Mus musculus: one gene and its partners. The protein of the gene in region 7 interacts with the protein of the main gene of each other region in a pairwise test. Links are inferred from orthologs where the notes say so. Each region holds a gene or a part of one and is shown on either strand. Other genes may lie near its edges.

Evidence for each region.
Region 1: the proteins of Rbfox2 (region 7) and Hnrnpf interact in binary tests that used the Homo sapiens proteins (3 or more experiments, as listed by UniProt). The link is inferred for Mus musculus from reciprocal best matches to the Homo sapiens genes RBFOX2 and HNRNPF.
Region 2: the proteins of Rbfox2 (region 7) and Hmga1b interact in a two-hybrid assay, tested with the Homo sapiens proteins (2 studies listed by BioGRID and IntAct, with this or other methods). The link is inferred for Mus musculus from reciprocal best matches to the Homo sapiens genes RBFOX2 and HMGA1.
Region 3: the proteins of Rbfox2 (region 7) and Rnf8 interact in binary tests that used the Homo sapiens proteins (3 or more experiments, as listed by UniProt). The two-hybrid records come from large-scale screens. The link is inferred for Mus musculus from reciprocal best matches to the Homo sapiens genes RBFOX2 and RNF8.
Region 4: the proteins of Rbfox2 (region 7) and Psmf1 interact in a two-hybrid assay, tested with the Homo sapiens proteins (2 studies listed by BioGRID and IntAct). The two-hybrid records come from large-scale screens. The link is inferred for Mus musculus from reciprocal best matches to the Homo sapiens genes RBFOX2 and PSMF1.
Region 5: the proteins of Rbfox2 (region 7) and Qk interact in binary tests that used the Homo sapiens proteins (3 or more experiments, as listed by UniProt). The link is inferred for Mus musculus from reciprocal best matches to the Homo sapiens genes RBFOX2 and QKI.
Region 6: the proteins of Rbfox2 (region 7) and Rbm42 interact in a two-hybrid assay, tested with the Homo sapiens proteins (2 studies listed by BioGRID and IntAct). The link is inferred for Mus musculus from reciprocal best matches to the Homo sapiens genes RBFOX2 and RBM42.

Annotation. Positions count from the first base shown.
Region 1 is NC_000072.6:117,905,348-117,909,581, reverse strand, and holds the start of Hnrnpf (heterogeneous nuclear ribonucleoprotein F), read right to left. Parts: upstream 2,801-4,234; 5' UTR 2,743-2,800; exon of another isoform or gene 2,473-2,742; coding exon of another isoform or gene 1,741-2,472; exon of another isoform or gene 1,664-1,740; intron 1,479-1,663; coding exon of another isoform or gene 1,377-1,478; intron 1-1,376. Other genes in the region: uncharacterized protein 4933440N22Rik, read left to right, coding at 1,377-1,478, 1,741-2,472.
Region 2 is NC_000077.6:120,761,652-120,764,892, reverse strand, and holds Hmga1b (high mobility group protein HMG-I/HMG-Y), read right to left. Parts: upstream 2,100-3,241; 5' UTR 2,005-2,099; coding exon 1,903-2,004; coding exon of another isoform or gene 1,870-1,902; coding exon 1,681-1,869; 3' UTR 501-1,680; downstream 1-500. UniProt on the Homo sapiens protein: HMG-I/Y bind preferentially to the minor groove of A+T rich regions in double-stranded DNA. It is suggested that these proteins could function in nucleosome phasing and in the 3'-end processing of mRNA transcripts.
Region 3 is NC_000083.6:29,635,289-29,638,788, forward strand, and holds part of Rnf8 (E3 ubiquitin-protein ligase RNF8), read left to right. Parts: intron 1-529; coding exon 530-734; intron 735-3,500. UniProt on the Homo sapiens protein: E3 ubiquitin-protein ligase that plays a key role in DNA damage signaling via 2 distinct roles: by mediating the 'Lys-63'-linked ubiquitination of histones H2A and H2AX and promoting the recruitment of DNA repair proteins at double-strand breaks (DSBs) sites, and by catalyzing 'Lys-48'-linked ubiquitination to remove target proteins from DNA damage sites.
Region 4 is NC_000068.7:151,738,511-151,742,579, forward strand, and holds the start of Psmf1 (proteasome inhibitor PI31 subunit), read right to left. Parts: upstream 2,801-4,069; 5' UTR 2,645-2,800; coding exon of another isoform or gene 2,630-2,644; coding exon 2,501-2,629; intron 1-2,500. UniProt on the Homo sapiens protein: Plays an important role in control of proteasome function. Inhibits the hydrolysis of protein and peptide substrates by the 20S proteasome. Also inhibits the activation of the proteasome by the proteasome regulatory proteins PA700 and PA28.
Region 5 is NC_000083.6:10,235,862-10,239,361, forward strand, and holds part of Qk (protein quaking), read right to left. Parts: intron 3,176-3,500; coding exon 3,032-3,175; intron 1-3,031. UniProt on the Homo sapiens protein: RNA reader protein, which recognizes and binds specific RNAs, thereby regulating RNA metabolic processes, such as pre-mRNA splicing, circular RNA (circRNA) formation, mRNA export, mRNA stability and/or translation.
Region 6 is NC_000073.6:30,647,429-30,651,714, forward strand, and holds the start of Rbm42 (RNA-binding protein 42), read right to left. Parts: upstream 2,801-4,286; 5' UTR 2,650-2,800; coding exon 2,510-2,649; intron 2,292-2,509; coding exon 2,156-2,291; intron 388-2,155; coding exon 303-387; intron 207-302; coding exon 132-206; intron 1-131. UniProt on the Homo sapiens protein: Binds (via the RRM domain) to the 3'-untranslated region (UTR) of CDKN1A mRNA.
Region 7 is NC_000081.6:77,097,554-77,101,053, forward strand, and holds part of Rbfox2 (RNA binding protein fox-1 homolog 2), read right to left. Parts: intron 1,940-3,500; coding exon 1,886-1,939; intron 1,780-1,885; coding exon 1,687-1,779; intron 532-1,686; coding exon 387-531; intron 1-386. UniProt on the Homo sapiens protein: RNA-binding protein that regulates alternative splicing events by binding to 5'-UGCAUGU-3' elements. Prevents binding of U2AF2 to the 3'-splice site.

The DNA of each region.
Region 1 (4,234 bases), on a different chromosome or scaffold from region 7:
ACAGAGAACTGAAATTTTTTTGGTAAGCAAATGGTCAGTAGTTTTATTTCGGCATTTACTAAAGTCTTAAATATAATCACATATAAAACAAACATTTCAGAGTTCCAGGACAGCCAGGGCTACAAAGAGAACCCTGTCTTGAAAATCCAAAAAGAACAAAATAACCCCCCCCCCAAACAAAACCAAACATCTCAAAAGTACAAAATACAGCCAGGCGTGGTAGTGTACACCTTTAATCCCAGCAATTGGGAGGCAGAGGTGGGCGGATTTCTGACTTCCAGGCCAGCCTGATCTAGAAAGTGAGTTCCAGGACAGCCACAGCCAGGGCTATACAGAGAAACCGTGTCTCGAAAAACAAAAGAAAGCTGTTACACACACACACACCCCCTTGTATTAGCTGTGCTTCGTGATACATGCCTTTAATGCCAGCAATTCACAGCACTATGGAAGCAAAAGTAGGTGTGTTGCTTGAGTTTGAAGCCAGCCTTATCTAAATATACAGTAATTTTGCGCCAAGGCGTAATATAATAGTTAGACCCTACCTCAAGAAACAAGTAATCACTTTTGCATTTACTTTTAGATCCAGTGTGCCCAGGCCTTCCTTCAAATCAAACCATGAATCTTTTTTAAAAATTACTACAAAAACGGGCATAATACAGACAGAATGGGGCTGACAAAGCGTGCCTAAAGCCTGCCATGCCCAGTAACTACTAATGGGGTGTGGTCGAGTTAGTACTCCAATCTAGAGGTGGAGCTGAGTGATCTGGAATTCAAGGTCATCCTCTGTGGCTACATAATGATTTGTAACTTAAAAAAAAAAAAAAAGGCTGGTAAGACTAATGGCAACACGAGGGAGATAAGAAAAGCAGAAAGTTCAAAATTTAAGTCAGGATTTGGTCTGTAAGACTGTTCTCAACTGAGATCTACCTCCGAGCGCTGAGCGCAAAAGCATGCATAGCCACCCGGCGTACTCAAAAGTACTTCGACATTGTTCAATGGGCTAACGCACTTTTTGCCAGACCTTAGCTACCTGCGCTCAGTCTGAATACACAGATGGAAGAACTGAACCACGTTTTGACCTCCACTCCGCAGCACGAAGGGAAGAAAGACTTAAGTATTAACTATTTCCAGATATCGTCTGTCTTGTTCAACTAGAAGAATTAAATATTTAAACCACCCCCTGGACAGAGCGATAGATCATTGTGACAGGGACCCTCAATTCAATCCCAAGGACCCAGTGCTGGAAAAATCCATTTCTTCACCTTATCCCCTCACCTCCACGCACAAATAAACATTAAAGGAAACCGACTAAAATAAGCCCAAAAGTTCCGTAAACAAAACTGCCCAGGTTCAGGAGACCGATCCCGCACAGCCACATGGCGGCCACCCGCGCTCGCTCGCCCGCTTACTCCGCAGCCCGACTTGCAGGTAGGAAAGAGGCCCATTTGTTTGTTCCCGGACTGGCAGGGGCAGAAAAGGTCGCTGGGTGGGAGTCTTAGGGCACATGGGGCTGCCTCTCCGATCCCGCCGGGTCGGGAAGGCTCCGGAGAGCACGCGCCGAGGGAAGGCCGAGCGGGCCCACCTCAACTTTTCCCAGACACGTGAGGCTCCACAAACACAGCACAAAAGTGCTCGTAACTGCGGCTAAGGCCGACTAACCCACCTAGGCAAAGACTCCGCACCCCACACGCTAACACGATACCTCTGGGGGACGGGACCGGCGCAGACCGGTGCTCCTAGCTCCCGGGCCGCCACGAGGAGGAAGCGAGGCGCTCGGCTTCGCTCGGGCCGGGCGTGGGCGGTGGGCGGAGCCGTCCCGCCCAGTCTTGTGAAACTCCGGGCGCCTCGGGCCACGTGAGCGCCCGCTCGTCTTTCTCCAAACTACAACCACCGCCCGGGCCTGCCGGGGGGCCGCTGACAGAGCGTAAGCCGCGGTGGGTGAGAAGCGCTCCACCCTCACCCCCCCCCCCAATATCCCGCCGAGGAAGCCGCGCCTGCGGGCGGGGTGGGGGGGCGGCTCTGAGGAAAGCCGCGCTTTCTCCGGGCGGGCGTGGGCCGCGGCTGCGGTCTCCCAGGCCCTCCGCACACCTCAGCCCAGAGGCCCGGCCCTACCGACCGGACTCCAGCCCTCAGTCCCCGCTCCCCCGACCGCACACCTCGGCCACGCGGCCCAATCCCCGTCGAAAATGCGCTGAACTTCGGCTCCCGACCCCAAACCCCGGCCACGCGGTCCCCAGCTCCGTGGGCAGCCTCCGCACGGCTATGGCTGTGCGGCGGCCACCTCGGCCCCGTTCCTTCCGAGTCCGGATCCCACGCCCGCCATCCAACGCCCGCCGGGCCCAGGCGCCAGCACACCCCGCCGGCGGCCCTCACCTCCGGCTTCTCGGCTCCACGCTCCCACTCACATCCGGACCTCGCCGGCCCTCAGAGCACCTAGAGGAGGGTGGAACCCCGGGGACTTGGCAGTTGTAGCTGAGGCAGTTGAGGCTTGTTTACTGTCACCATGGAAACCCCCACAGGCGCGCTCGCGGGACGGCCTCAGCGGGGCGAGTCAACCGCGCGGCCGGCCTGCTCCTCAACTCCCGCCTGCCGAGCGCCAGCGGCGCCTCCGGAAGCCCTCCTGATCCCCGGTCCGCTCCCCGCTCGGCCCACGCCCCGAGCACCCGGAAACAGTAGCCCGGGGAGCCCACTTTCCCTTCCCACAGCCGGCGTGACCGCGGGCTGGCCTTCCCCGAACCCCACCTTCAGGAAGACGAGGCGCAGTCCTCCTTCCACGACGGAGCCGGAAGGATGCAAGACGGTGATGGGGCGGAGCCTCAGGCAGCGGACATCCGGGCACAGGGCAGCCGCGGCGCCATTCTGACGAGCCCAGAACGGAGCCTAGGATTGGCCGGGGGAGGGAGAGGGGCGGGACTAGAGAGCTGTGGACCCGCCTCTGAGTCCCGGAGAGGACAGTGACGGCGCAGGCGCAAACATTGCGGGGGGGGGGTAGCAGGGGGAGGGGGCGGGCAAACGAGGGGGGGGGGGGAGACAGCAAGGTGGAGGGGGTTGTCCATAAAGAGACCTGTGGGCTGGTGAGTCGGTGGACGCTGAATTCTGCACGCGTGTCTCCGCATCCCGAAAAGTGATCCCAAAGGAATCAATGACCGCATGCGTGCGGAAAACTAGAATGGTGTCTTATGTAAAAGAAAGACCGCCTAAGGGCATCTCAGGCAGTCCGGAGGGATTTGTCTGAAGTTTCTAACTCTCAGCACTATGTGAACGCTGGGACAGATTTTCTTGATGTGTAATAATTTGGGAGGATTCTCTGCGAGATGTCGAGATACAAGCTAAAGTGAAGATTATTTTTGAAGCTTCCAGAGCCGCCTAGGCGGGCGTAGGAACACGAGCTGGTTCCTACGAACTCCATTTCTGCATGGAGGCGGCCGAGGCTACAATGCATGGTCGCGAGCTGCTGTCTATATAAACACTGGAGAAATTACAAGGCCGTTCAGAATAATCTCTGGTTATAAGTGAACTACAGTGATGAAGGAAACGTTTATAAAACAACACACCAGACTAACTCCAGAAAAAGGAAAGAAAACTTTGAGAGGAAAACCTGTCCAAGAAGAAAAATAGAAGTCAAATGATAGAAAACAGATGCTACAAAAGTTAGATAAGTATTCGTGAGCACTAAACCCAGAGCCTTGTAGTTGGCAAATTACATCCCCCACCTCTGATGTTTGTTTGTTTGTTTGCCCAGGGAGTGGGGCATTAAAATTGTTAAGTTCGTGCGAGTTATCACCACACTTTCAACTGAAGTCAGAGGACAATCCTGAGTGTTCTCTCCTTCCACCATGTGGGGTCCTGATCAAACTCAAGGTTGAAAGGCCTGTGCAGCAAGTTCTGCTGAGACCTCTCACCCTGCTCCTTGGGTGGTTTTATTTATTTTTAAAGTTCCTTACTATTGCCAGAGAAAGGTGCAAGTGACTTCTAACCTTGAAGAAGCCAGAGAGCAACTTTTCACAAGTATTTTCATTTCCCTTAGGTGAGTTCCAGGGGTCAAATTGAAGTTCCCAGATTTTTACAGCCAGAGGTTTCACTTTTGAGCTCCCTCTGTCTGACTGCAACCCAGGCTGGCTTCCAACTCTTGTTTTGTTTTGTATTGTTTCTTTTGGTTCCCCACACCCCCACCCTAAGACATGGTATCTCTGTTGTAAAGCTGGCTGTCCTGGAACTCACTATGGCTCCAATT
Region 2 (3,241 bases), on a different chromosome or scaffold from region 7:
CTGTGAGAGGGTCTGACACAGCAGTGTAGCGGGAAGGAAGGGGCAACCTAAAGAAGGAATCTGAATTTTCAGCAATGAGATGTGGAGTCTTGAACCCAGGGCCTGAGAGCATACTAAGCCAACGGTGCCCCATCAGTGATGCTCGGTGATGTGAGCCACACCCTCGGCCCAGGGCAGTGAGATTGCTGGGTTTGGAATTATCTGGACAGAAGCATCAGCTTGGGACTTTTTGTTTTGTTGTTATAAATGAAGGTAGTGATGTGATCTAGCTGGAGCAGGCACACTGGATTCCAATGCCCAGGGACCCAAGAACCCACCATGCCTGCAGTGTGTCTAGAGAGTCCCCTGGCTGTTCCCCTCAATCTGTTCCTCCCAGGTGCCCCTCACCTGCTGCCCCGTACCAGCCAGGAACTCCGCCTTTGGCAGAGACACTGAGGCACCGTCTTTACTTTGAGGCAGGACTCTTGTAAATCTTTTTTTTTTTTTTTTTTTTTTTTGACTGTCCAGAAAAGGCTATTTGTTTTTTATTCAAGTAACTGCAAATAAGAAACCAGGGAGGAAGCCCCAGGCTGGGACAAATACTGGCCACCCCTCCCCCACAGAACAAGGGGAGGTGGCCCTACACCCTTTTCCCATCAAAGTGGGCCCCCATCCTCACTCTGCTGCAGCATCCACGGGGTGGGGCCCCATCTTCCTTAGTGTGGGGTAGGTAACCAGTCTGCTGCGCCCCAGCCCCCCTTCCCCTCGAGTGTATTGTGTGGGGGAGAGAATACAGGCAAATTCAGGAGGATGAACATCTGACGCTGGTAGCAGCAGCAATAGTGGGTATCTAAGAATGAACATGGAACAAAAAAAAAACAACACAACCGTCCAGAGGTAGTTTGTGAACAGAGGAGAAGATGGAACCAGAACCATGGGGGGCAGGGAGGAGCGAAAAGGAGGGGGCGGCAAGGCTAGCTCCTTAGTGCCCTGCGGGAGGAAGGAACAGCCTAGAGTGGACTGGGGGAGGCGTGTTGGTGCCCGTTTGCCTTTGGTGGAGGCGAGAACAGGCCCTTACTCTGGAGATGGGCGGTAACCCCATCTGTCTAGTCTCAGGTGAGAACATTAAAGTGGGTGGAGCCAACATCATCCTACTTCCTGTTGTCAAGGGGCTCAGCCAACCCAGTGCATGATCTCTGTAGGGTGGGGCAGGAGGGGCTGAGAAACCCACCCGGTGATACTTTGGTGGGGACATGCTGGGATCTAAGCATCCCCTGCCCTGACCACACTGCTGCTGCTAGGTCAGCCACTGGGCCTTGTCAGAGTGAGATGGGGCCGGGGCCCCTTAAGGCCAGGGAATGCTCCCAGGACCCTCTACGGGGAAGCCAGGAACAGCAGGGCAGAAGGGACCCGCAAAACAAAGCGCCCAGAGAGCCACGGCTCTGAGGGAGGTGCGCAGCAGGCCGGGCTGCGGCTAAATGGGAAGTTAGCCTTGTCAGGATGGGGCAGGTGTGTTCGGGAGGAGGGCACAGGGACTGAGCCGAATCCTGCTCCCTTGGGTGCTGCGGAGCAGAGCCTGCAGCTGGTGCCTGGTGCGGTAGTGTGCAGTGGGGGCGGGGAGGGGCCTGGGAGCAGGGCTTCCAGTCCCAGGGGACAGCTGCTCCTCAGTGGCTATGGAGCAGGCGGCACTGCGAGTGGTGATCACTGCTCCTCCTCAGAGGACTCCTGGGAGATGCCCTCCTCTTCCTCCTTCTCCAGTTTCTTGGGTCTGCCCCTTGGTTTCCTCCCTGGAGCTGTGGTGACTTTCCGGGTCTTGGCGGCGCCCTTATTCTTGCTTCCCTTTGGTCGGCCCCGAGGTCTCTTCGGAGTTGGCACTTCACTGGGCTCTTTCTGACTCCCGACCAGCGCCGTCCCAGGACTCACCGGAGGCTGCTTGCGTGGCCTGCCCCGGCCTCGCTTCTCAGTCCCATCCTTTTCCTGCTTGGAGGCCAGGGGCTGGCTGGACTTTGAGCCCGACTCGCTCATTCTCCTTCTCTATGTGTGGGGCAGCACACAGTGAGTGCCTTCTTGGAGCCGCGCCAACACCAGAAATAGCCCCGACTCGGAGTCCCAATTAGAGGCGACTCTTGTAAATCTAAGCATGGATTCTGGGGTTTCCTGCCCCAGTTGCAAACCCTGAGTACCTCTGTGCATCTCCTCTTCTCTGAGCAGAGACCTGGTTCTTTGGAGCCAGTTAGGAGTAATCAGAGAATATTGTGCACCTCAACCCGTGTCTGGCGATTGTTTGAGGTGTGCTGAGGGTCTCTTGTCTTGTGTGTCAGGGTTCATGGAACAAGTACTCACGATCCAGTGAGTCATAGCAGGTCACACGACATCTGGGCCGGGCAGGAGGCTCAGATGCCTCATGGACAGCCCTGGGGAGGAGGTGTGCTCAGACTGCCGCCTTTCCCTTGCTCAGTCCAGGCTCTGCACTGAGACCGTGTGAGTCGCTGAAAGGAGGCAGCTGTACTTCCAGTGCTCTATAGTGCAGGGACAGCAGTACCCTTCCCCTGAGCATTCCTCCGCACTGGTCAGAAGGGTGCTCTGGGACCTTCCTGTGGCTCAGGGGACAGCATACACAGTGGGGGCCCGGAGCCCAATCATTTGCTGCTGCCTGGCAGTTTCCTCATAGCTAACAGGGACAGATCATGCCTGCTCACTGTGTCCTTGATCCCAGTCTGAGCAAACCACCAAGTCCTATAGCCAACCTCCAGGTGGCACTGAATACTGGTGTCTGGCCTGATCTATCCAGTAAGATCAAAGCCCTTCCCCTTCTATGACAAAAGCTGTGGATTGTGACCAACCTGCTGTCTGGTGGCCATCGGAACTCCTGGGAAATGGTGGCCTTTCAGGGATGCCAGTTGGCCACCAGGCAGGAGGAAGTGGTTTACCAGGAAGGGAGCATCAAGCTCCAACGTCTTGGGAAGACAGTCATCTGCTAGCTTCGCCCTTAGGAGCGCATTTCTCCTAAGATGTCTTCACCCTCCACAGCTCCTGCTCTATCTCCTGTCACCTATGTTGTCTGAAGACTTCTCTATCCAGAGTCATGTGCTGAGCCCTAACTACAACATTATGTGAGGACTGTTGTATAACAGTTTCCTTTGAAATTAAAACACCCCATCCTGCATGGAAGTTCCTTAAGTAGGGATGCAAACAACTCATATAGTTTCAGGAAGTTCCTGAAACTGACCAATTTCACAAGATCCCTTGCTGTCAGGGTAAG
Region 3 (3,500 bases), on a different chromosome or scaffold from region 7:
AAAAAAAAAAAAAAAAAAGATAAGCAAACACCTGTCTCCTAGGCTACCGTTTGTTACTTCGCCATGTTATCACACCAGCTATTTTAATTTTCATACATTTTCGTACCATTTGTAACCAATTCATTTTATGCTAAGTGTTACGCTTATACAGTTGAGTAGCAGGTGAGTTTTAGTCTTTTTTACACCTTTGGAAAGGAAGATGGGTGTGCAGAGAGACTGCTGTTCCCAAGCAGCCCCTAGGAAGATTGGGTGTGTCTGCCTCCTGCGGAAAGACCAGGTCTGTGACTGGAGTCACTTTGGCTGCCACTTTGGCTGCAAGTCATTCCCAGCGTAGTCTCCAGTCTGATGGGTTGCTTAGGACTGTGGGAACTGGAGGGGAGTGGGAGGAAAGGGAGGCAGAACCGGGTGCTGAGCCAGCCGGAGCAGAGCGGAGCCTCTGTGAGGCGGGGCTGTGGTGAGTCTGCCTGTGGGCCTGGGAGATTCGCTCTGTTGTGCTTGAGAAAGTAAGAGTGTCCCTTTCACATTGCAGGCTGTCACCCTGAACTGTGCCCACAGTTTCTGCTCCTTCTGTATCAATGAATGGATGAAACGGAAAGTAGAGTGTCCCATTTGTCGAAAGGACATTGAGTCCAGAACCAACTCCCTGGTTCTGGACAACTGCATTAGTAAGATGGTGGATAACCTAAGCTCAGACGTGAAGGAAAGAAGAAGTGTCCTTATTAGGGAACGGAGAGGTGAGTGGCTCTGAACTCCTACTCCCTGACAAAGGGCTTCCTTACTTAGCTACAGCAGGCGTTTTTACAGGGTGAAGTTGGACAATAGAGTTTAGTAAATGTTTTTGGAGTACAGGCAGGAGAAATGGGAGTATCTGCAGAGTTCAGGTAGCCCGCATAGGAAAGAACCGAATTAGAGTTAGTCTCTGTTGTTTGAGCTCCACCTGGTAGGTGTGTTCCCGCTTGCTCTGGAGCAAAAAGCTGGGCCAGAAAACAGTCAAATGGTTTGCTGTCTGCACACCAGGTGGTGCTGTTGCTGAAGGCAGCCGGCCAGTTAGAGATGGAAATACATACATAAGCTCTGTAAGGGCTTAGGGCTGGGGTGTAGTCAGCCACAAAGCCCTGGGTTCAGTCCCTAGCACCACTATTCACACACACACATTATTGCGTCCTGGTGGGTTTGATAACACATCTCCAGTCAGGGGACTTGGGGTGAGAAGATTGGGGAAGGGATGGCAAGTGTTCCTGAACTGTCCCTCCTAGTGAATATCTGTCCATTTAAGTCAGTGGTTCTCAACATCCCTAATGCTGCAACCCTTTAAAGTAGTCCCTCTTGTTGTGACTGACAACCATAAAATTAATTTGGTTACCACTCCATAACCATCTGTACGTTTGCTACTGTTATGAATCACAATGTAAATATCTGTTTCTGGTGGTCTTTGGGGGTCGTGCCCACAGGTTGAGAACCGCTGGTTTAAGTGATGCTGCCACACTAGGGGCTTGCTGTGTTAATGCCGCAGAAAGCCACTCCTTCATGTTGCAGCAGAAGATTCTTGGTGCAGAACAAGGAAGCTGCTGGGTATTGCATAGAGAGCCATGGCACAAGAGGCGGGGTGTCCATGGCCGTCGTGTTCTGTTGCTACCTTCTGGGAATTGGAAATTAACTCAGCTCCTGTCTGTGATGCTGTCACATGACCGGTGTGTGGGGGTTGGGTGGGGGTGGGGTGGCCTGGTTATACTCCTGAGCTGAGAGATGCTGGGCAGCATAGAGGCCAGATGCTGGTCATAGCAGTCGAGTGGCCCTACAGGAACCAGCTTTTCCAGGTAGGGACAGGGATCTGTTGCTGACACATGTGCATCCATAGTGTGAGACTGGGCTGGGTGCTGTGGATGCCGAGTGGGAAGGGTTCCTGGCTAGGAGTGTGAGCTGACCCTTGACGTGTGTGCTTGCTGCTTTCCTGATACCTGCTAGAGTATTTTGCTCAGTTTAGAGTCTCTATAAGTTTTACCTCTGCCCTTGGTTCTGGCAGAAGCCCATTGCTCTTCATTTCCACCTGTATTTCCATAGGAACATGACACTAGCCCTGGGAAGAGAGAGAGCATCTCACTTCCTCTCACGCTTACCTGAAGGTGTTGTGTGGCTTCAGAGGAAGGACCGCTTACGTGGGTCTGGGCAGGTGGAGATGAGAGAGGATCCTGTAGAGGAAGCCATGTTTATGCCAAGCCTTACAGCTTTCTGGTTGCTTGCTTTCCAAGCCAAGAACATGACACAGTTTGCAGAACAGCCAAAACTGGGAGGGGCCTGCCAATGGCTTGCTTCTGTCTTCCTGGGAGTCAGATTAGATAAGGAGCAGGCTATGACTTTTGAGCGGAAGTGTGTTGTCTGGGTCAGGGTGGGATGCCTATGAGAGTTTCTTTTTTCTTTTTCTTTTTTTTTTAAGATTTATTTATTTATTTATTTATTTATTTATTTATGTAAGTAAACTGTAGCTGTCTTCAGACACACCAGAAGAGGGTATCAGATCTCATTAAGAATGGTTGTAAGCCACTATGTGCTGGGATTTGAACTCAGGACCTCTGAAGAGCAGTCAGTGCTCTTAACCACTGAGCCATCTCTCCAGCCCCCCCCCCCCCCCCAGGAGAATTTCTTTGCCCAGCCTATGTTGTTGTTCAGCTGATGACTGGAAGAGCCCAAGTCCGTCTCTGTCCTCTTATGGAGAGTCACTTGCATAGACTAAGGACCACAGTCCCTCCTCCCTTCTCTGCAGAGGCTAAGCAGGCTATCCCTGGGCGCCTCTGGAAAGAGGAGTGACTGTTCAGGAAACCACGCCCTGTTGCACACCCTGATCGCAGCATGTCTGGCAGCCAGTTCTCACCGCAAGTGCAGCTTTGCGACCCGTTCTTTAGACAGGCAGAAGGTTCTGTGCCTTGATTTAGGAAAAGATGTACCAGAGCCACCAGCAGCGTTGTTGGGCTGCAGTCTGGGGGCCAGCTCTCTGTGAGTGTTCAGCTCTCTGTGAGTGTTCTGGCTGCAGTGTGGGGGCCAGCTCTCTGTGAGTGTTCTGGTGCCATTTGAAGGCTGGTTTATTCCTTAGTGCGTGGGAATTTCTAAAAAGAACTTAGGATCTGGAATGGAAGAGTGTTCAGTGGTCAAGAGTACTTTCTGCTCTTCCAGAGGACTGTGTTCAATTCCTAGCACCCACATGCTGGCTTACAACTGCCTGTAACTCCAAAGGGATCTGACATGTTTTGGCTGTTTTAGGCACCAAGAATGCACATGGTGTGCATATATGTGTAGGTAAAACACCCTTACATATAAATACAACAAACCAAGCGAATACACAAAGAACGCAGGCTCTGTGTTTGGGCAAGGGTTTGGTTGATTCTCACGCAGATGTCCTGTGCTCTCCAAAAGCAGGGCCTTCCTCAGCTTCCCTGACTGTAGGTTTAGGTCCCAGTGGGAGCAGCACCTCCTGACTGGTTAGCTGTTGGGGGTGGGGGATAGTA
Region 4 (4,069 bases), on a different chromosome or scaffold from region 7:
GTGAACCTTCGACACTACTTCTGGGAATTCAGACTTACACAGGCCCTTTGGGAGTCCACCTAGCAGTACTTAGCTCTATGAGGTTTGTATGAGCCAAGACTCAAACGTCCTCCTAGAAGGAAGCTGTGGATACATGTGGGAGCCTGATAAGCAATGTCAACCTTCATTCCAGTGTGAGCCTGAACAGCTGAAGCCGAGGTAAAGTGCACACTATGCTGACAGTGGCACATTACACTGCAGTCAGAAGGAACACACTAGATCAAATTATAGTATTCTAGAGAAAACGTCATGTGTGTGTGTGTGTATTGGCAGTAAAGAACCAGGAGGAGGAGTAATTCTATGAAACTCTCCCCTCTGGACACATGCACAGAGCACCCATGAATACCATCTTCGTAAGAGCAAGTCACCAAAATAAGCAATATTCTGTCAGGAAGCACTAACTGGACTCTGTTGGTTATGAGTGGGGTACAGAGGGAGAAGTCACAAAGTGGGAATTTACAGGGGGAGTGGGAGGAGTTAGAAAAAGTTTATGGTCCAATACCATTTATGGAAAAACAAAAAACCCTTTAAAAAGCACACATTCAACACAAAACAGCACGACCAGAAGCTGTGTTCATGAGAGCATGGTAGGATGGGATGGGATGGGAAGGAGTGGGGCGATGGACAACACTGACAAAGGCCCACACATGAAGGACTTTACACAGCAAGTGCAGGGGAGGCCACCCCTGGTGTTTGGAAATCCTTTGCCAGAGGAGTCACAATCAAACTTGGCTAGGTGACAAGGAGACTGGTAGCCTCAGCAGAGACAGGAGAGTAAGGAGAAAACAAAACTGAAGCTAGCCACAGCCTGAGAAACCCTCTTGCCTTTCTGGGTAACTTCCTAGTGTGGTGTGGACTTCAAGGGTGACTCGGGTGTTTAAGGCAGGGCTGGCAGACCTTACCTGTGTTCAGTCAAGACCTTTGACTCTCTCCTGTCCTACATGGACAGCACTGGCCCTACCAGCAGGCGCTCTTGACTTACAGACAACCTGCTCTGCTCCCCACCTCGACACCTTCATTCCGGAGCAAGAAATAATCGCTAGGGTCAGGTAAAGCTCACAGCCTCACTGTGGTAAGGTGAAACGGATACTCCACAGAAAACAGAAGCTAGACAGGCCCAACACATCATGTGGCTGTCCTCTGCACCTTGATATAAAATATCAAGTGTCCCACAAGGCTATGGTTGGCAGATAACGAAAGCATATGTTTGTACCATGTAACTTCCTCAGATGAAGACTCAAAGGCCTGAGAGTGGCTGCGACCTATGAAAGGTTAGAGCAGGGCAGGCTGGAGATTCTTCCAGACAGACTGGTAAGGTAAAGAAAGGTAAAGCTAGCTGTCTTCTATAGACAAAATCCTGAGGCTAGAAACATTCCTTAATGGCCACTGGGCTCACCCTAGTGCCTCTGGGCTAGAATGCAACCAACCAACCAACCAACCAACCAAAACTGCACACATAAACAGGTCATTCTCTCTTTATAATCTTCAGACTCCCACAACACAATGCCAATTTTTCTAACTCGTATCTATGGCCATCTCCATGGCCCTCCACTGACCTTATCTCACACGGCTACAGAGCTCTCATGGGGAGTAGCCGTGCCCTCAATAAGGAGACCAATCAATGCCTGTTTGTTCAAGTCAACAAACATGTTCTTGAGATCAAATATTACAAGCCCAGCTCTATAGCACTGGAGGCAAAAAAGCAAAGAGAAAGTGGGCAGCATGACTCTTTAGCTGCTGAGTTGGTATTACCCAGTCAAGTGCGTGCTTTGTTCCTCTCATCACCCACAGAAGGAGGGTGGCAGGAGGCAGCTAGAGGACCAACACAAATACCTGCTGAGTCCAGCAAGCATTACTAATCTGCTGGCCACAGGCTGGAAAATAAAACTCTCTAGTAGATAAATTAACAGTTAATGGCCTCTCAATTTTTAACTAATTAATTAAAAAAAATTTTTTTTTGGCTTCTACCCTGAAAACGCATACCCATCAGCAGAGAATGGAGGCAAGGGCAGCCTGAGCCCAGAAAGTACTTCAGGAGAACGGACAGCAAGAATCAAACGCAGCATTCAAGTCTGAAATCCAAACACTGTCCCCTCGAAGAAGGGGTCCTAGAATATGGCTGAGTAGGTCAAAGTTCACTGCCACACCAGTGCTTGAATCCAGATGCTTGGAGTTGAGGGTGTAGCACGGAGTATTCTACGGCAGATGCTTTGGGTAAACTGGTGGATGAGGACCTTGAGGAAGCTACTAGCCTGTCTCAGTCAGATCCACACAACCCCGGCTGTGTCGGGGACGCCTTTACACGTCCGTTCCCGAGTTTACACGCACGCTGTGCCCGTTGTCGGCACCAGCACCAGGCGCGCTAAAGTGCGGCATCAGAAGCCTCGCTCGGGCCCTGGCTTTGGCACGGTCAGGGCAGGCCTTTGGGCCTCGGGCTGCAGACTCCCCTCCACCCGCGTACCTGGTCGCCCGTGCCCAAGGCATAGTAGCCGTTTGTCACCACTTCCCAGTGCAGGAAGCAGACGAGTGCGTCCTGCGGGCAGCTCATGGATGGAGCGGCCGACGCGAAGAGAACCTCGAGACCCGCCATGGATGTTTGCGGCTTCTGTGGGAAAGGAAGAAAAGGAGGGGACTATGCAGAAAGCCGCTCCGCCTAAGAGAAGCGGGACCGCGAGCGGCAGCGACGCCTTTTGATGCCGCCTTCGCTTTCGGCTCTGTCCGCACCTGCGCGGAAAAGTGGAAACGCGGAAACGCAGAGACGCGCACCGGAAATACTTGTTGACTTTGTGCGTGCTCCGGGCTGGAAACACCTGCACCGAACTAGAAGGTTCCACTAAGAAGCGCGCAGGCTAGGGCTTATCTTCTCAAAGCCTTTTTGCCTGCAGCAGGCGACTGCTGAGTGCCAGGCTGTTCGTTCCTGGGGAGAGACTGCCTTCTACCAACTACAGTAGACTTCTCATCTGCGAAGTGGAGTGTGTACTAGGCCGGGGGAAAATTTAGGCAATCTGTCTTAGATGTTTTCATCGTAATTTATTAGCATGCCTGCAGTACTTCTTGCCTGATAGCACTTTATTCTACATGCTAAACTTTAATGCATTTATCAAAATTTCCAGATCCAGTATTATACAGTTGGTATTGATGACAGTACTCTGCCACTACATAGATTTGGAAATCGTGTCACAATCAGCCAGTGAGCAATAGAGGTGCCCCTGGGAACTGGTAATTTGGTCTCTAGGATAGCATTTATATGTATGTTGATTGCATGCTAAATCCTGTGCCAAAACCTTTACATCCCCTCTCAACAAATTCATGGGGTATATTTTATTACCCATCCTCACTTTGCGAGTGATATAAAGAGCAGAAAGAGTGAAATGACTTCACCCAAGTAAACACAGCTTTTGACCACATCTAGAGCCCAGAGATAACTGACAAATGCTAGCCACTTGTGCCCCAATCTCCATCAAGATTTTTTTAACCACCTGTTGTTTCTCCATGTTTCTTGAAGTCCAATACTTTTTTGTAGACAAATAAATTTTGCCATGTTGGTTGGTACCATGACCCAAACCATTGTCATTTTTTTTTTCTTGGTTGCCTGGCATCAGCCTTGTATGCTACACTGGTTTCACCCTACAACCAGAGAGATTCTGTTAAAACACAGGGAAGACCATGTTCCTTAGGCCCAAGCCACACCTCAAAGGCGAAGTTCACTCTAGGTCTGTCACCCTCTCACTCCACAGGCCCTGTGCCTTTCTGATATCACCTCCAAGTGTCCTTTCATTCTCTGATCTCCTTGGCTCCAGTGACCTTGACTTCTCTCAGCTCTCATGCCTAGGTTAACATGCCACAGGTCTTGCCCTGATGGAACTTTGTAGTGTTTCTTTTTAATAGACAAAAAGCAATCCAGTATGAAATCTGTCATTTGGGGGTGCTGAGAGAGCTATACAAGGCCCACAGGAAGCCTATGTTCCAAGCAAGGATCAGGAAGGGTTTCTTGGATTAAGAAATGGCCAATTGCACAGAACTCTCATGG
Region 5 (3,500 bases), on a different chromosome or scaffold from region 7:
GGGGGGGGGGGGGGGGGCAGTTTTAAGAGGTACACAATTAGAGTTAGATAAGAGGAATAAACTCTAGTGCTTCCTAACAACAAAATGGCTACATTTAAGAATTTATTGTTTATAAACAGCTAGAAGATTTCCAACACAAAAGAACTGAAAACAATCTAAAGTGAAAAAAAGGGAAAGTCAGGGAGAATAAGAGAGGAATAAGAGGAGAAACAGCTAAAACTCAGGGTCACTTGAGGAATAGTATGGAAAGAAACCTACTATAGTAGAAGTAGTCACAAAATATATACATATATGAAAGAAATATAAATGGAGTCACTAAATAACAGGGAGACCAAGTCCAAGTAGACATCTCTCATCATCAAATGAGACATCCAATCTTTGAAATGCATTACATCTAAAGTTCTTGTTAAAGGAGCTCTATAGAACCCCAACAGCCAGAATATATTACTGAAGCTACTTACTGTTTGCTCTTCACAAACTGACAGTAATATCCTATTGCTGGAGGCAATATTTAAATAACTCATTCAACAAGAAGGTAGGTTAGTGCCTACCTAGAGCCTTCACTCCTACTGACTGGTGTTCATGGTAGTAGAAGGACTCTGCATACTGTATACAAGAGGAGACAGGTTCACACCAATCCAAGTATGATCTATTTGTTCTATAATGGTGGCCTAGTAGATACACAAGTGCAATAGTGATACAAACATTATGGGAGTAACTACCACTATCTGACTGGAATTAAGGCCCACTTCATGAGATGGAACACCCACATGGCCAGGAACCTGAGACAAGAAATCCAAATACTACTGTTCTGATAAAAGAACACAACAATAAAGTGACTTTCAATGACATTCAGCTATACTCATAGATAAGTGTCTTGCCCAGCCAATATCAAGAAGCAATCGAAGGGAACAAATATAGAGACATACAATTGGACAATATACAGATAAGAGCCCTTGCTTGGGAGACTCAGTACTAAAAGGAGTGTCTCCGTCTAATCTCTTATTTCTGTGCTCAGGGAACTTTGCAGAAGTGGAGGGGGAAATATTCTAAAATGTGCCATAGCTCTCATGTGAAATTCAGAGGACAGCTTCCAGAAATTGGTTCTCCCACCACTGTTGAACCTGAGACCAAACTCAAGTCAGGCTCATCAATCAACAAGAAATTCTATAAATGAAAAAGTGGGTACTCCAAAATCTTATCTCACCACTAGTTATTCCCCCACTAAATTAAAGAAACTGGCTAAAATTTTCTAGAACTCACTAATAATCTCCTAAATCAATGTTCTTCTTCTATAGTACCTTTTAGAATAAAAGTAAATTACAAAAGCAATGACTAGAAAAATAAAATGGGTAAATAGTAAACTATTAGACCATTTTCATTTTGCTACATTAGTTAAACACATGTGTTGTTAGATACACAGCACTGTAATACTTTCCTGTCTATGAAACTGCAACTAAATACCCACAAGTCCCCTTTGCACTGCTTTTCAAGACCACACAGTTACTAAGGAAAGGAAAGAGGATAAGATTGAACAAACAGTGCATATTTACAAACAATCTACATGTCCATGTTCCTTAAGTATCTATTGACAGAATTTGTATCAAATTCTTTCTTTGCAAGAAACCAATTTTGTCAAATGAATGGGGAAATGTTTCTAATGTATGAGGTCACTTAGAAAGTGGACTATGGCCTGGCAGTGGTGGCACACACCTTTAATCCCAGCACTTGGCAGAGGCAGGTGGATTTCGGAGTTCAAGGCCAGACTGGTCTACAGAGTGAGTTCTAGGACAGCCAGAGCTACAGAGAAACCTTGTCTCGAAAAACAAAACAAACAAACAAACAAAAAAAAAAAAAGAAAGAAAAAAGAAAGTGGACTATGAGGACAATAAAGATCAGATTGCTAGGATATAAACAACAGTAGATCCCAAAGACATTCATGGAAGCAACAAAATGGCTTTGGTGACAGCACACTAACAATAGATTTTCCTAGCTTCTTTAAGAGCAGCCAACTGAAATATTTCCATGAGAAACATGAGAAAGATGGCTTCATAATCTACTTAAAATCATTTTCTTCTCATTTCCCACTGGGGGGAAAAACAGTACTCTGATATTATGCAGCAATATAAATAAAGTGAAGAAGAGTTGAGGGAAGAAAATGGAGAGAAAGAATGGAAAGAGGTGTTAAGCCTCATGCGATGCCAGTCTCAAATTTTACTTTCAATTTCTGACATAAGATTTCTAAATATGACCTTGAACAGTGTTTGTTAGCTGATAAGTGTAAGAAATATTTGGAGTAGTGTCTATGAAATCAGTAAAACTCAGGTTTCAGAAAGAACACAAATTTCACTATGCAATAACAAAGTTTTACTGTGCAACATTAACTTATTTACAGAAGAAAATATGCCAGAAGAGAACCTAGCATATGAGCAAACTCTACTTTCCCACAGCACTAGTTACACTAGTAACTAGTTAATTTTTGAATGACTATTACGTAATCTTTTTGGATTTTGTTTTTTGCTTGTTTGGTGGTTTTTGAAACAGGGTCTTTCTACATAGCCCTGACTGACCTAGACTTACTATGTATAAGGCTGGCCTAGAATTTGCAGGTATTAGCCTGCTTCTGCCTCACAAGTTTTTGGGAGAGACTGCATGCATGTGCCACCTTGTCCAGCATACTTAACTTTTTTAAGAAAAAGAAGACAGAAAACAAACCAAAAACTTTTAATATCCTGATAGATAAATCTAGATTCTTCCTATAACAGAGCAATTTAAAAGTCTACTGTGTCTTTTAAAAAGTAGGCTAGTTAGGCTTGTTTCTCTACCACATCACTTCCTTCACAAAAATAAGCAGGGATTTTTGAGCAATCCTGTCTTTTACACTATATACTTAATGAGCCACACATTATTTTTATATTTGTGGTTAAATAAAATCTCTAACAGATAACAACTCATACTTTATTAACATTACAATTTCAAGTCAATCTAAAAAGGAAAAGGTAAAAAAAATTCAAGATGAAAATTTACTTACCGCAGGTACCAGTAACTTCTTCACTTCTTCAACCGCTCTCTTCAGCTTGATTTCTGCTCTGTTCTGAGCATCTTCCACAGTGATTAGTACATGTAAGTCTTCATTTAGATGCTCCCAATTGGGCTTGCCTCTATTTTGCTCCTCCTTTAAAAGAAAAAAAAAAAAGAAAAAAAAAAGAAAAGAAAAAGAAAAAAGCAATGTTACTAATACTTTTTTTCCCCCAAAGACAAAATACACCTTTTGTAACAGGCACCTAGTGCCAACTACTTAAAACCATCTTTTTATTATTTTGCTAGGATGACAGTACAAAGCTTTTCAATTAAGTTTCCAAAGTAATCAAAAGCCTTGCAATGGGACTAGTCAATCAAATGAGAACTCAGCAAACATATATGCTGCACCTATTATATATCCAGCTGAAGATAAAAGTGACCAAGACAATCACAAGAGATAGTATTGCTACTCTAGAAAA
Region 6 (4,286 bases), on a different chromosome or scaffold from region 7:
ACATGGTCAGGGATGTACTGAGTGAAGACAGTATCAGGATGGAGATAGGGATCTGCAGCAGGGCAGAGCCAGAGTTCTTGAACCCAGACAAGTGTGCCTGGCCAAAAGTGAGGTCTTGGTCCCCAACCTACCTGCTCGCCTCAGGAACATGGCCTCTCGAGCCTCAGGACTGTCCAGGTGACCACGATCGGCAGGGCCAAAGCCAACTGTGGGGAGGAAGAGATGAGGATGGTGGGAGGCAACCTTTGGGCACCCCCTTTTACCACCCTGCCTGAAACAGGACCCCTCATTTTGTCACTTACCTGGGCCCACAAAAGGAGGGCCTCCCACCATGGGAGGAACAACTGTGGCTGCAGCAGCTGCCCTGGCCTCCAGAGTCTGTTGGACCTATTGGGGAGGAGTTGTGGCTCAGAGATGCTGGCTCCCCTGGCAGGTTAATACTTTTACCCTTTATTTTATGGGTCTGGTGACCAGTCAGAGTCTGCTACAAGGTCTCTTCACTGGGGCTTCTGTCGCCATACTAAATAAAGCTATTTTTGTTGTTTTTGTTTGTTTTTCAAGACAGGGTTTCTCTGTGTAACCCTGGCTGTCCTGTGACTCCATCTGTAGATCAGGCTGACCTCAGACTCACAAAGATCTGCCTCTGACTTCCAAGTGCTGGGATTAAAGGCATGTGCCACCACCACTTAATAGCTTAAGCTTTTATTATTAATATCTCCCAGGATCAACTTTTCTGACTCAGTTCCCTACAGCACTATCTCCCATCCAAGGACTAACCAGGGCCCTGTGATTTCTGAGAGCAGGTATGTTCAGAGTGAGGCTGCAGACCCCACACTATCTTAACTAATGTTCGACCTGTTCTCCCTGTTGTCTACCTCTACCTTACCTAGATTATTAGCCTCTTTCTCCATCTCCTTGAACTCACCCTTGCTCTCTCTAGTATATTATCAAGACAGCCAAAGCTACATGCTTAACCTATAAGTTGGACCATTACCACCCACCTTAGAATTCTCTAGTAGTTCCTCATTTCATCTTAAAGTGGCTCAGAAGACCCTGCTAGATCTAGCTTCCATCACTGTTTTAATCTTCTCCATTTTCCCTTTTGTTTGCTCCTCTCTAGCCACTGACCTCTCTGCTGTTGCATGAACAAGACAATGCTGTCTCAGTCTTTGCATGGACAACTTTTTGCCTGGGATAACATCACTCCAGACATCTGCATGGTTCAGTCATCTCATTTATATCTTTGCTTTACTAATACCAGATCAAAAAGGCCTTCCCTGACTGCTAATAAAACTCTTACCACTTTGTAAGGTCAAAGAAACAACGGGAACTTTTCTGTTTTGTTTTCTCCTATACACCCCTTGCTTAGAACAGTGCCTAGTGCTGAGAAGGCACAAGAGTGCCTTTGATCTTTTTTGTTCCCTCCACAATGCAAGGGATTGAACCCACGGCTTTGACATGCCAGGCATGAGATTATTACTAAGCTGCATCCCAGCCCACCTAATAACTGTGAACAGAATAAACACGTTTTCTCTGCTGGTGTTCCTCTAAATAGTTCCCCCCTGTTTCCTTCTTTCCTCGGCTTCTTTCTTACAGCTGACTATTAAGCACCTGGAATATTATCCATGAGTCTTGGGAATGACAACACAGATATACATTTTAATATTGTTTTGGTTTTTTTGTGGTGGTAGTGGGCTTAGAAAATAGGACTCTGCCAGGCTAAGTGCTCTACCACTGAACTACACCCCAAATCTGTGAATAAAAACTTTCAAGAGATTTTTTTTTTTGTTTGTTTTTCGAGACAGGGTTTCTCTGTATAGCCCTGGCTGTCCTGGAACTCACTCTGTAGACCAGACTGGCCTCGAACTCAGAAATCCACCTGCCTCTGCCTCCCGAGTGCTGGGATTAAAGGTGTGCGCCACCATGCCTGGCTCAAGAGATGTTTATATAGAATAATCTAACACTGCAGAAAGTTCTACCGGACAGGCACTGTAGAATATTAGTTTCCAATGGATTAAATATACTGTCTTGCATCCTGAGTCCCTGGCACTTAAGTGGTCATGCCAGCCAAAACATCAATCGCTGTCCATAGATAAGCCCTTATTGGGACCAAACCATTCTGTTCTCCCGACTCAAGCTGTAGCTCTCACCTTACCTGTTGGTATGTGTTGGTGGCGATAATTGGGCGGATCACAGGAGCTGGGGGGACCTGCATCGCTTCTACCGTGGGCACCGCAGGCACAGCAGTTGGGATTCCGGTCACCGGAGCTCCCAATACTTCTTGCTCAAACCTGGGGGAGCGGGACAGATACCATAGGTCAGGTCTCACCAAGCCTGAGGTGCTGGGTACTTCTCCACCGCGCCTTCATCCCAGCTAATGCCTCCCCGCATCCCTCGGGTCCCACGGCCCCTTATGGAACCACATCTCAACCTTCTGAAGACCTGGAGGCTACAGGGTTAATTGGGTTTGCCCGGGAACAGCTTTTATTTCTCCTACTCAGGGCCTTACAGGGCCATCTCCGCCTCCATTTCTTTCAAGCGTTCCTCGCCGCTCTTGCCCGGGATGCCGACACCAGGCCCCGGGACCACCGGCCCTCCCGCCACCGGGAGTCCCGGAGCCGGCCCTGCTCCGGCCATCGCTGATGCCATAGCCTTCACCGCTCCTTCCAGCAGCCGCAGCGGGTTCTACGGTCGAGTCCCTGTCGTCTCAGGGTGGGAGCCGGCCGATGACGTATGGACTACCGCGACGGATGCGCTGCGTGAGGACGTAGTTTAAGAACAGGGGCTGAGACTTGGCCACACCCCCAGAGCGAGCAAAAGCCAATTAGAGTGTCGGAAAGTCAGGGCCCCGGAAGGGCCTCTAATCTGACAGACGCGGCTGTACGGATAGGCCCCGCCCTCGTAGAGAAAGGTGGGCGAATGAGAGCGAAGCAACGTCACTTTGACCCACCCCGCTGTGGAAGCCGGAACTTTGAGGAGGCACGGAAGTTCGGAGGTCCTTCCAGAAGTTTGTAAACACTGCAAAGCCAGGGTAGGAGTCTTTTGCACTCGGTGGACAGATACACTGCCAGGGGTCAGTTCATTATTCTTTTTTTGAATAAAATTTAATTTTACTGACTACCTCCATGGTTTTCTTTTTTTCATTTTGGGGTTTGGTTTGGTTTTGAGCCCAGGTATGGAACTTCCTAGGTTGACATAGGCTTTCAAGTGCTGGGATTATGGATACAGAACAAAATATTGGCTTTTAAAAAAGATTTATTTATTATTATATCTAACTACACTGTAGCTGTCAGACACACCAGAAGAGGGTGTCAGATCCCATTACAGATGGTTGTAAGCCACCATGTTGTTGCTGGGAATTGAACTCAGGACCTCTGGAAGAGCAGTCAGTGCTCTTAACTGCTGAGCCATCTCTCCAGCCCCCCAAATATTGGCTTTTATACTAGAGATATCTAGAGAGAAGTGTGGAGGTACATGTCTTTAATCCCATAATTTAGGAGATAGCCATGCAGATCTCTGGATTTAAGGTCAATCTACAGAGCAAGTTCCAGGACAGCCAAGCTTAGGCAATGAGGGAGGTGGAAAACAGAAAGCTGGTAATAGAATGGGGTTGGGGGTGGGGTGATGTTCCAGCATGTGGCTCTGGCTTTAGAGTGAAAAAGAGAAGAGACTACTGGGACAATTGATGCTGGTTAGCTGGAGCTAAGAAATTAGCGGTGATTAAGAAGAGACCAGCTGAGCCGGGTGTGGTGGCGCACGCCTTTAATCCCAGCACTCGGGAGGCAGAGGCAGGTGGATTTCTGAGTTCGAGGCCAGCCTGGTCTACAGAGTGAGTTCCAGGACAGCCAGGGCTACACAGAGAAACCCTGTCTTGGAAAAAAACAAACAAACAAACAAACAAAAGAGACCAGCATCTGGGGCTGTAGAGATGGCTCAGCGGTTAAGAGTACCAGATGCTCTTCCAGAGGACCTGGGTTCAATTCTCAGCAACCACATGGTGACTCCCAACCATCTGTAATGGGATCTAATGCCCTCTTCTGGTGTGTCTGAAGACAGTTTTTTTTTTTTTTTTTCTTTTGGTTTTTTGAGACAGGGTTTCTCTGTGTAGCCCTGGCTGTCCTGGAACTCACTTTGTAGACCAGGCTGGCCTCTGCCTCCCAAGTTCTGGGATTAAAGGCGTGCGCCACCACCACCCGGATCTGAAGACAGCTATTATGCACTCATACACATAAAATAAATAAATCATATATATATATGTACATATATATATAAAAGACCAGCATCAG
Region 7 (3,500 bases):
TGAGCAGAGCAGACACAGTCTGGCACTATGATCTCCAGCTCCCTCCTCACTTCTCTGTAGTAGTGTTAATCCACACTCGTGCGCTGCTGAGTGAACTCCATGCCAACACACTGCTAGCAAACACAAGATGGCTCTGGCCACTGTCTTAAGCTGTCACCACAAAGGCTTAAGGTAGCCAAAATGAGTGTTTATATATTGATGACCCTTGGTCAAAATTCTGTATTTTGGTTCTTGCCCTTAGTCCATTAATTTGCAAATATTCACACAGCATCTAAATGCTGTCAAGCAACATCCTAGGAATCAGGGAGGGCCAGAGCACTCTTTCTTCCCTTCTTTTGTATCCATTACTTATTTTAGAAATGGTGATTTTGGAATCTAATGCTTACCCTGGATAGGCGGGGATGGCTGTTGGAGGTACCGCTCGGACTGCACCATACACTGTCCGCCCTCTGCCCCTCAGATGGGCTCCTCGGAAAGCAGCTGCCGTGGTGGCTGCAGTTGGGTAAGGGAAGCCAGGAACTAAAGGGAGACCCAAAATATGACAGAAATTTCAACTGGCATTCAGAAGCTGGTACAAAGCTAGACTGAGAATCAATTATGGAAAAGGTAGAAGACAGGCACCGAATGTTCCCTGAAAAGACAGCAAGCATACATGCTAATTAACACGGGGCTTTGGGGGAGGGGGTGGGAAGAGAGATACAGGATGACCTAATGACGACTCCATGCCCCACTTGTTTGTCACGGTCTTGAGCTTACCCTGTTTCTTCCAGGTTTTTCCAGTCATTATGAGAACTGATAAGAAACTCTTTTATCATAGTAAGATGCACACGTTTTAATTTCTGTTGCTGATTTAAATCAGGTTAATATATTTTTTAATTGGCCAACTATTAATTTCATTTCTGTTATTATGTAATAATTATTACTCAAAAGGAAACTTCTTTATATTTTTAATGCTCCAAGCATACAATAGTTTTTAGAGAATTTATTTGTAATTTAATTTCTTTAATATTGATAAATAAACAGGAGTTTTAAAGACAAGGTTACTCTGTGCAGCCCTAGCTGTCCTAGAACTAGTTCTATAGACCAGGCTGAGCTCAGACTCACAGAGCTCCACCGGCCTCTGCCTCCTGAGTGATGGGATTAAAGGCTGCACTGCCACTGCCTGGTCTCCTCAGGCGCCCGGCATCCTGCACCCTTTAGCGAGACAGACAAAAGCTGGCTCTAAGTGTTCCTTGCTCTGGAAGCCTTGTACAAACATCCTGCTCTGTGGAATCTGGTTTAGTTACACCTCTTGCCAGGGGAAACAGGCCTGGGTAAAAGTGACTTTAGAGACAGCAAGAAAGTGGCCTGTCACGGACACTGGAGATGTCTAAGTGGTACTCCAGAGGAGAGTGGGTGGGATGAGCAGGCTTCAGTAATGCAGGCGAGACATGCTCTTATCTTCTGATTTCCTTATGATCACATCCAGGTAGGATAGTTACATGTTCATCTGTACACTTTCCCATGATTTTTGTTTTGTGGATGTTTCTAGTATGAGTTACATAAAACAGGGCATTGTGGTATCTATTACTCTGTCAAGAATGGTTCTTTTCCATCAGTTCTGCATTATGCTAGAACAAAAACAGACCAAACTAGCACATGTGGCAACCGTCAAAAACCCATGGTAGGTCAGTGTAGGCTACTTACTGATTAGAGGGATGTAAGTGTTGATGCCTCCTCTTCCTGACAAGGGCACAGCCGCCTCATTGCCTAGGGACACATCAGCTTGAAAGCTGGATGCTAAGTGCATTAAAAACAAAACAAAACCCACAAAGGTTACAAAGATGTAAGCATATGAGAAACCAGAGGTCACTGAGTAGCAGACAGGAAAACAGTGCACTCGTACCTGCATATAACTCAGGACCATACACAGCTCCAACTACTGGGCTTAACTTCCAGCCTGAAACAGAAGAGGACAGGAGTGAACTGTGCAGGTCAAGATGGCTTCAGGCACCTCTGGGCTGTTTTTCCTCCCCAGGCCAGAGTTTACATGAAAGGGCAATGGTATATCAAGGCAATGGTATATCTCTACAGTTTCTGCTTGAAAGCTGCCCTGACTTCCCTTGATGATAAAGCTGTGACCCCAAAGTTGCTTTTCATCTGTTTTATCACAGCATCAGACTGTAACTAGAACAGAAAAACAAAAATGGAGGGAGAGAAGATCACTATGGCGTTTGCAGACTGTGCTCAGAACTGTACCCAGATGGCCTGCTCTGAGCTGAGAGGAGGAAAGAAATCTGAGCCCCTCTCATTTGGCACTGCATGGCAACACACTTCCTGACTGACACGACATCTAAGCACTTTACACTAGATGCTTTATGAAGGCATCCTCAGGCTGAATTAAAACCTGACCTAGAGCTGGCTCACACAGCAGTGGCGCACACACACCTTCTCTCCCAGCACTCAAAAGGGAGAGGTGGGTGGATCTCTGTGAGTTTGAAGCCAATCTGGTCTACAAAGTGGTTCCAGGACAGCCAGGGCTGTTACACAGAGAAACTCTGTCTCAAAAACCAATCAACTGGGAACTTGATGGCACATTCAGTTATACTGCACAAGTTTTGTATGTAAACCGAAATCTCCCTTCATAGTAAAAATTGGGGTTCACCAAGGAGAGAGGGAAAGACATGCAGTAATGAAATGTGAAGTCCATTCCGAGCCTCTGTGCACGGCTTCAGGTTTAAATTTATAATAAACATTTTAATGAACATGTTATTCAAGACTCTGAAGGATACCAGGCTAGACATTAAGTTCAAGATTTAGAAATGTTGAATTTCCAAATACTATGTTGGGATTTTCCTTCCTTCCTTCCTTCCTTCCTTCCTTCCTTCCTTCCTTCCTTCCTTCCTTTCTTTTTTTTTTGAGACAGTTTCTCTGTGTAGCCCTGGGTATGTCCTACTTCTCTTGAGTACTTCGATTACAGGCGTGCACCACCACGGCTCAGCGTCAACATTTTATTTCTTTATATACTGTAAACATAGAATATGTATAAAATATGCCAAATATTTTCTTTGTAAGCAAGCAATGCATGCTACCCCTCTAGTAGTTAATAGAACACCACAAAAGAACTTAAGAAGTAGGGGGCTGGTGAGATGGCTCAGTGGTTAAGAGCATTGAACTGCTTTTCTGAAGGTCCTGAGTTCAAATCGCAGCAACCACATGGTGGCTCACAACCATATGTAATGAGATCTGATGCCCTCTTCTGGTGTGTCCGAAGTCAGCTACAGTGTACTTATGCATAATAATAAATAAATCTTTGGGCCAGAGCAAGCAGGAACTAAGTGAGCAGAGTTGACCTAGCAAGCAGAGGTTCTAAAAAAATTCAATTCCCAACAACCACATGAAGGCTCACAACTATCTGTACAGTTACAGTGTACTCACATAAATAAATAAGAACTTAAGAAGTAGCTACTGACTTTTATATACAAAAAGCAACATACCCTGTGATTCTACTTTCTGGAGTG